Linked DNA regions of Oryctolagus cuniculus. The protein of the gene in region 1 binds, or shares a complex with, the protein of each later gene. Links are inferred from orthologs where the notes say so. Each region holds a gene or a part of one and is shown in the gene's direction. Other genes may lie near its edges. The genes, in order: STK11 and CAB39.

Region 1 (3,789 bases):
GGGGCCGGGCCCGCGCTGACCCGCGCTGTCTGCAGGGATGCTGGAGTACGAGCCGGCCAAGAGGTTCTCCATCCGGCAGATCCGGCAGCACAGGTGCGTGGCGCGGGCGAGGCCCGGCCGGCGCTGTCTCCCACCTCCTGGGCCCCGGGTGGGGCAGCCGGCTTGGGCCTGTTTGCAGTGGCTGGCTGATTAGTGAGGGAGGGAGAGCGCGCCTCCACGTGCCGGTGCCGTCCCCGGCGGCTGCGGTGGCCGGGCTGGGCCAGGCGGAGGCCAGGCCTGCGTGGGTCCCCTGTGCAGGCAGGCCTTCCCGGCGCCCTACAGGGTGCTGTGGTGCACGCTGGCTCGGTGCTGGCCCCCTGCCCCCCGGCCGTCTCCGGGGCAGCGCTGCGGCGCACGGGAGGGAGCCTGCAATGGGGGGGAGGCAGTGCCGGCCGGGCCAGGGCAGCGGGGTGCGCGGCGCCAGGAGCCCCGGTCGCCCACGGCCGGGCTTTTGCAGCTGGTTCCGGAAGAAGCACCCCCTGGCCGAGGCGCTGGTACCCATCCCGCCGAGCCCCGACACCAAGGACCGGTGGCGCAGCATGACCGTGGTGCCCTACCTGGAGGACCTGCACGGGGGCGCCGGCGAGGACGCCGACGGCGAGCACTTCGACGTCGACGACGACATCATCTACACTCAGGAATTCACCGTGCCCGGTGAGTCCGCGGGCTGCGGCCGGCTCCGCCCGGGCGGCTCCGCCCTTTGGCAGACTCCGAGCGTCCAGCCCGGCCTCTCCGGCCCAAGGCCCATCGGGAGCAGGTGGGAGACCCCTGGGACAGGAGCTGCTTGCCGTGGGGACAGACTTGGGGTGGGGGCTCCTTCTGCCCAGTCCCTCCCCGCCCAGCCCTGACAACCCCGCTGGCCAGGGTCCCGCAGCCCCTACCCCTCCCGCAGTCCTGACCCCACCCCCTGCAGCCCTGACCCCACCCCCCACCCCCACCCCGGCCAAGAGGGTCTGGGGGTCCTCCCCTCCCGCAGCCCTGACCCCGACCCCCGGCCGTGAGGGTCCGGGTCCTCCCCTCCCGCAGCCCTGACCCCGCCCCCCGGCCGTGAGGGTCCAGGTCCTCCCCTCCCGCAGCCCTGACCCCGCCCCCTGCAGCCCTGACCCCGCCCCCTTGCTTCCCCAGGTGGCGAGGAGGTCGCTGAGGCAGGGCTTAGGGAGCAGAGCAGCGAGTGTGCAGCCCTCTGTGGAGACAGCGCCAGGCCCTAGCGTAGCCCAGCCGCAGGCTCCGCCCACAGGCCCTCCCCAACCAAGGCTCCGCCCACAGGCCCTCCCAGCCGCAGGCTCCGCCCATTGAGGCCCTCCCCAACCAAGGCTCCGCCCACTGTGGCGCCCTCCCCAGCCATAAAGCTCCACCCACAGGCCCTCCCCACCACAAGACTCCGCCCGCTGTGGCGCCCTCCCCAGCCATAAAGCTCCACCCACAGGCCCTCCCCACCACAAGACTCCGCCCGCTGTGGCGTCCTCCCCAGCCATAAAGCTCCGCCCACTGTGTCCGTCGCCCTTGCTTGCTGCGGTGGCCCCCCCAGGCCCGAGGGTTCCTGTCCACTTCCCTCAGCGAGAGCGCGAGGCCTCTCCCCCCAGGCCCCTGTGAGGCTGAGCCGGGCGGGCGGGCGGGGGCGGCCCTGGAGCCGGCCCAGGTGGTGGGGTGGGCGGGTCCTGAGGGGTCTGTGCTCCTCTGGACACGGTTGGGGTCTGAGGGTGCCCGGCCCCCGGTACAGCTGCACCCAGAGAGGCACCCCCAGGACTGTGTGTGCCGGGGGCAGTGAGACCCTGGCCCGCCGGGCCCCAGGGAGGCAGCAGGGCAGGGCTGGGCAGCCCCCCCCCCAGCCGAGCGGCAGTGCCACTGGGGCCTTGGGCAGGGCGGGGTCCCCGGGCCTGGCGGGTGAGAGGGGCCCCTCTGCCCTGGGCCTGGGGTGCTGGGCTCCGTCCCTGCCTGACCCAGGCCCGTCCCCCGGGCCCTGCCTGCGGGCTGCCGAGTCAGGCTCCCCCGCCCTGTTGGAGGGGGGCTGGGGGGCTCTGGGGACGCCTCTGCGCACTCCCCCACCCCACGGTGAGGGCGCTGTCCGGTGAGGCAGGGTGGGCAGCAGCCGAGCCCTTGGGGCCCCAGGCTGGGGGAGTGGGCAGGGTGCTGGGCTCTTCCGCAGCCGGGCCACCCGGCCCCTCCCGTCCCGCAGGTGAGTGCCGGCGTGGTGGGGGGCGGGGCCGCAGGGCAGCCCAGGCCCAGCAGACACCCCTGGGTGGACGGCTGACGCGGCCGGCCAGCTCTCCACCTGCCTGTCAGGGTGGGCAGCGGGCAGGGGCGGGGCGTCTGCCCGGAGCTGCCAGCAGGGGCGCGGGGCGGCCTGGCTGCTGCCCTCGGCTGAGGCCACACTGGCCGGCTTCCCGCAGGACAGATCCCCGAAGAGGAGGTGGGCCAGAACGGACAGAGCCGGGGCCTGCCGAAGGCCGTGTGCATGAACGGCACGGAGTCGGCGCAGCTGAGCACCAAAGTGAGGGCCGAGGGCCGGGCCGGCGCCGCCAACCCAGCGCGCAAGGCCTGCTCCGCCGGCAGCAAGATCCGCCGGCTGTCGGCCTGCAAGCAGCAGTGAGCGCCGCCTGCAGGTGGGGTCCGCGGTGGTCACGCCAGGCCCAAGCCGCGGCGGGGAGGCGCCCGCGTGGTCCCTCGCGCGTCACGGCCGGGCCTGGGGCAGGGTGGCCATCTGAGCAGCCGGGGAGCCCGATTGGGGGGTGGGCCGGCCCCCGCGGCCTGCGGTTGTCCTGGCTGCCCCGCCCCGGGTGCTGCATTGCCGACCCGTCTGCGGCCACCCAGACTGCTCCGGGGAAGGCCCGGGCCGCCGTGACCGCCCCGTCCTCTCGCAGCCTGCCTCCGGGAGTCTCCGCCAGGGGGCGCGCTCCCCCAGTCTTCCCGCCGGCTCCCGGCCCAGCGCCGCCCGCCCTCAGGACAGCGGGCGGCCCCGCGGCCCGGCCTCCCCTGGCCGCCTGCGCGCAGCGGCAGGGCCGTGGACACGACTTGCTGACTTTGCAATCCTGCCTGAGCCTTCCCCAGGCGCAGAAGGGAGAGGCCCGGGCCGCCGTGCACTTTACCTTGAGACTACTGGCTCTGCGCCCGCCGCACGGCCCCGCCTTGCATGCAGAGCCGCCAGGGAGCCGCGCGGCTGCCTTGTTTTCCTCGTTTGGTTGGTTCCTTTTCTTTTTGTTTTTTAAGAAAAAATAAAACAGGTGGATTTGAGCTGTGGTGTGAGGAGTGTTTGGGGGTCGTGGGGTACAAGACTCTAGCCCAGAACGCAGGGGCCGCGGTCGGAGGCGGGCGCCCCCTCCGCGGTGGTCCTCCCTGCCCGGGGACCCCACCCCCGCCCCGGGCACGCCCCAGAGACAGCCAGGAGGCGAGGCCTGCGGTACACATTTTTATCAACCGGGAGAGACACGACGAGGACACTCCAGCGGGGCTGGCGCGAAGCGGGGGGCGGCGAGGGCCGCCCATCTTTTGGCAATAAATAAAGCTGGGGGAACAGGGCCGTGCCCGGCGGCTTCGCTCCCGTCTCTGCCCGGGCGAGGGGCGGGCACCGTTCATGCGGAGGGCGGCGCGGGGACGCGGACACACACGGGGAGGGCGGCGGCCTGCGGCTCGCGCATGCACCCGGCACCGGCACCGGCCGTCCGTCCGGCGCAGTCCAGGCCCCGCCGGCGCTGCAGGGAGGCTCTGCGCATGCGCGCGAACGGCCCCCAAGGGCCCGAGGCAGGGCCAGGC
Region 2 (4,420 bases), on another chromosome or scaffold:
CCTCCCAGAACCCTCCACTGGCCTCCCAGAATCCCCTGCTGGTCTCCTAGAATCTTCCACTGTCTCCCAGAATCCCCCGCTGGCCTCCCAGAATCCCCTGCGGGTCTCCCAGAATGCCCTACTGGTCTTCCCTTCCCGATCTCGCGGGGCTGGCCCCTTCAGCTTGCTCCTTGGCCTCGCCTTTTGTTCCCACTCACTCCCTAAATGATCTCATGGGGTCCTGAGCCTACTCCGGAGACTCCGGGGCTGACCGCTCGCTGGGCTCCGGTATCAACTTCCCGCTTCTGTGCCCAGCGGGCAGCTTGGGCGCAGGATCCCGCCAAAGGAAGTCCCCCCCGTTTCTGTGGAAGTCCTCCCCTTGTCACCAAAGTCTAGCTCACAGCTGCTTGAGAAAAACCAAGTTGAGCGCAGCCCCAGCAGACCGGCCTTCGAATGCGGCTGGAACCCGCCACCTCCGTGCACCTCCCCTGCCCTGCGCCCGCCTCTCTGGACCTGCGGCTCCAGCAGCCTCTCGGGGCCTCCCCGCAGGACTCAGCCTGCGGGGATCCTTGTGAAATGTCAGACGGCGCCCCTTCTCTGCTCAGAACCCTGCATCGCATCCTCCGCGTGGTCTGGGTGCCCCGTGCTCCCCCCGCCCCTCCGCAGGGCTCCGCACTCGCCCTGGGACTCACCTAGCACCTCCTGCACGCTGTCCGCTTTGCACAAAGGGCCAAGGCCCTCACTTTCCTCAAGTAGCTGCCCCCAGAGGAGCATAAGTAACATCCCTCCTGCCTCTCTCCCCTGTTCACCCAGCCCTGGCTTTCTGCGGAGCACCCAAAGCCGCCCAGGATTCACTGTTGGGTTCGGGGGTGGGGGGGTGGGGAACACAGCCCCTCCACTTACAGTGCATACAATAGGCGCTCAGAAACACTCGGTCATTTACGAAGAAGCAAAAGCAGACATGGCCGGTGTCTTTCTGTCCGGGCCTCCGCAGTCCGAGCTCCTCCGCACGCGCCTGGGCTCGGGTCCCTGTATTATTACCCTTTTCGGATTTTAATGTGTGCGGAAATCCAGGCACGGGGACATGAAGTGGACCATGCGAGAGCTGAGACTTCAGTCCAGACTGAACCCTGCCGCTCATTGCATGCCCATCCCTCGCTGGGGCGCTGAACTGTTGCCCCTCTGCGCAGGCAGGGGAGAGTCGGTCTGCACAAAGTCGGCTCCAGGCCTTCCGCGGAAATAAAGCTTCGCTGGGGAGTCTTGGTGGAAAGCCGGCCTGACCAGGGAAGCAGGACTCGGGGCCCGGCCTTCCCGCTCCCGCGCCCTGAGTCCGCCCGGCCGCCCGGGGGCGCCCGCGGCCGCAGGGGGCGTTGCGGCGCCGCCCGACGACGCGCCCTCGGCGCCTGCGCAGTGCGCACGTCAAAGCCGGGCTCGGGCCGGGCGCGGGGCGCGGGGCGCGGGGCCTGAGAGACACTGAGCCTGCCGGAGCGGGGCTGAGGGCCGAGGCGGAGGCGGTGCCGGGCCGCTCAGCGCCTGCAGCCGCAGCCCGAGCGAGCGCAGCCGCGCGGCGGCCACCGCGGGCGCCCCCGGGCCGCCGGGAGCAGGAGCGGGCGGAAGACAACGGAGGGGCCGAGCGCCCGAGCCGCGCCGCGGGGACCGAGCGAGCAGCCCGAGGCGGCGGCGGCCGCCGAGGACGGGGACGGCGACGACGCGGAGGCGGAGAGGGAGCCGCCCGGCCCGGCCCAGCCCCGTGAGTGACCCGGCTTCCGCCGGCCCCGCACGGGCCCCGGGCTGCCTCCATTTTCTCGGGCGGCGGGAGCGGCCGGGCGGGGGCCCTGCCCTCTGCGCCCGGGGCCGCGCGCGGCTCTCGGGAGGGCAGGGGCGGTGCGGGCCGGGGCTAACTGTCACTGCCCCCGGCGCCCGGGAGACGCCGGTGCCGCGAGGCGGGGCGCGCCTCGGCGGGGGTCCTGTCGGGAGACGCCTCGGCGGCTCTCGGATGGGGACCTGTGCGGCGGAGCGCCGCCGAGCTGGGCTGCAGCAGCCCCGGGTGCTGACTGCGGGCGGGCGGGCGGGCGGGCGGCGCCGCGCCGCGGGGATGCATTCAGAGGTGCAGCCGGCCCCGCGGTCGCCTCCCCGGGCTCTGGGGCGGGAGATAAGGCGCGTCCGCCAGCAACCGCGATCCCGGGAAGGAGGCGATAAGACCCTGCGAGGGGTAGCAGGGTACCCGGGCGGGGGGAGGGGGACCCGTCCGATCGATGGCTTCCGCCCGGCAGAAACCCTGGCGGGCTTCCTGGGCGAGGCAGGGCGGCAGCGTCTTGAAGGCCTTGGGGTGGGGGCGGTGCAGGAGGACAAAGGTATTTAAAAAAAAAAAAAAAAAAAAAAAGGCTGCTTGGTGTAGACCGGCGGGCCGCGGGTTTTGCTGGCCGGGGTCGCCTGCTCCAGAGGCGTGGGGGCCTGCGCAGGAGCTGTTGGAGCGGCGGTTCTCGGTGACTCACGAGCCCGGAAATGTAGGCTAGAGGATGTTCCCGGCGCGCCCGTGAAAGGGGCGAGCGGGAGGCCGGGCCCGGAGTCGACGCGGTGCAGCGCGGCGGCTTCCTGGGTGTGCAGGTGGACGCGGGGCGCCTCTCGCGAGACGGCCGGAGCCCGGGCTCGGGTGCGCGCCGGCGGCGTGGCTGTCGGTGACTTGGCTAAAACGCGCAGCCCGAACTTCGCGCCCCGCGTGTCCCAGGCCGCGCCGGCGCTCCGCTCGAGGCGGCCCCCGGGCGGCGCGGCCCGGTGGGCGGAGGCGGACGTGCGCCTCTCCACGGGAAGGCAGCGGTGGCTTTATTGTCAGGCGCGGAAGGCCAGAAGCGAGAGTTTAGCTTATTTTGTACTTTTTTTTTTTTTTTGCCCCCCACTCCCTCCCCCGGATGAGGAACAAGTACTAAGCGGCTGCCTGGGAGTCTGGGGTTTTTGCTCTGTGAGCAGCTTTCAGAGGTGAGCTTAGTGGGTGTGACGGGCGACTGCCAGTGCTTCCCGGCTGGTCGGTGGTACCGTGGTCGGTGGAAAAAGCAAGCCCTGCGAAAAGGGCTTTTGTGAATTGTCTACCTTTTCGGTTTGGTCGCTGTTCGCATTTTCGCGTGTTTCCCCTCCAGTCTCTGCCTGTGTTTTGTTTTCTTCTTCACCTGCGCGTGCAATCCCCGGGGTCATCAGAATGACCCTGGGAAACGTGTCTCGTGGACAGTAAGCGTGCATGCAAAAATCTTGCTCCAAAACAAACTTCTCATTTTATTTTCGTATGAACTTTTTGTAGACCTCGCATCTCATTAAATTTTTTTTTGTGGTTGTATATCTTCATATAAAATGTTTTTCCCGAGGAAGACAAGCCCCTTAAATGTGTTACAGGGTTGACAGGCGTGTGCGTCCTAACTTCTCTGCAGGGTTGGGTCCTGGGGCTGTTGCGTGAAGCTTGTGCTTGGCAGGATGCGAGTTGTCAGGAGGGATGCAAGGGGGTGTGGAGAGCCCTGTGTCGGAGGGGTGCTGCCCCTCCCACTCCCCAAAAACAGGCTCTCCCAGTGCTCCAAGCCGGGGTTTGGTTTTTCTGTCGGTGGCTCTTCGGGGTTAGGGGAGTTTGTCGTGAAGTGATTGACTGCCTGACCAAGCTCTGTGACGTTTATTGCAGGGCAGCTCACTCAGGTGCATTCGCATCTTTTTTTTTTTTTTTTTCAAGATTTATTTTATTTATTTGAAAGAGAGTTACAGAGAGAAATCTTCCATGTGTTGGTTCACTCTCCAAATGGCTGCAATGGCCAGAGCTGGGCCAGGCCGAAGCCAGGAGCCTCACATGGGTGCAGGGGCCCAGCACTTGGGCCATCTTCCACTGCTTTCCCAGGTGCATGGGCAGGGAGCTGGATCCTAAGTGGAGCAGCTGAGGCTCGAACTGGCACCCATAACAGATGCTGGCGTCTCAGCTGACGGCTTTACCCACTGTGCTGCAATGCCTGCCCCAGACTACAGGTCCCCAGACTGCAGGTTCTTTTTTTTTTTTTTTTTTAAGATTTATTTTATTTAATCGCTTCTCGGCCTTTTGGCTAAGATCAAGTGTGAAGATTTATTTTATTTATTTGAAAGACAGTTACAGAGAGAGAGGTCTTCCATCTGCTGGTTCACTCCCCAGATGGCTGCAATGGCCAGAGTGTGCCGATCCAACAGCAGGAGCCGGGAGCTTCTTCTGGGTCTCCCACGTGGGTGCAGGGGCCCAAGGACTTGAGCCATCTTACACTGCTTTCCCAGGGCACAGCAGAGAGCTGGATTGGAAGTGGAGCAGCTGGGACTCGAACCGGCACCCATATGGGATGCTGTTGCTTCAAGCCAGGGCTTTAACCCACTGCGCCACAGCCCTGGCCCCTGCAGGTTCTCATATTAAGTGTTTTTCATCTTATGCTTTGCAATCTGAAATATG

Evidence for each region.
Region 2: the proteins of STK11 (region 1) and CAB39 are in contact, whole or in part, in a crystal structure (PDB 2WTK), measured with the Homo sapiens proteins. The link is inferred for Oryctolagus cuniculus from reciprocal best matches to the Homo sapiens genes STK11 and CAB39. Residues at the interface, in NP_000446.1 of Homo sapiens: Gln100, Arg103, Arg104, Glu165, His168, Ser169, Gly171, Leu201, His202, Pro203, Phe204, Ala205, Ala206, Asp207, Asp208, Phe234, Arg301, Ser307, Arg310, Lys311, Lys312; in NP_001124321.1 of Homo sapiens: Gln109, Gly111, Thr112, Lys196, Leu197, Leu238, Asp239, Arg240, His241, Phe243, Met246, Ile250, Val280, Ala283, Asn284, Pro285, Glu317, Gln318.

Annotation. Positions count from the first base shown.
Region 1 is NC_091447.1:58,649,365-58,653,153, forward strand, and holds the end of STK11 (serine/threonine-protein kinase STK11), read left to right. Parts: intron 1-35; coding exon 36-93; intron 94-496; coding exon 497-693; intron 694-1,164; coding exon of another isoform or gene 1,165-1,247; exon of another isoform or gene 1,248-1,303; intron 1,304-2,429; coding exon of another isoform or gene 2,430-2,434; coding exon 2,435-3,255; 3' UTR 3,256-3,270; downstream 3,271-3,789. Other genes in the region: ATP5F1D (ATP synthase subunit delta, mitochondrial), read left to right, coding at 3,673-3,789. UniProt on the Homo sapiens protein: Tumor suppressor serine/threonine-protein kinase that controls the activity of AMP-activated protein kinase (AMPK) family members, thereby playing a role in various processes such as cell metabolism, cell polarity, apoptosis and DNA damage response.
Region 2 is NC_091434.1:8,419,573-8,423,992, reverse strand, and holds the start of CAB39 (calcium-binding protein 39), read left to right. Parts: upstream 1-1,391; 5' UTR 1,392-1,729; intron 1,730-2,771; exon of another isoform or gene 2,772-2,955; intron 2,956-4,420. UniProt on the Homo sapiens protein: Component of a complex that binds and activates STK11/LKB1. In the complex, required to stabilize the interaction between CAB39/MO25 (CAB39/MO25alpha or CAB39L/MO25beta) and STK11/LKB1.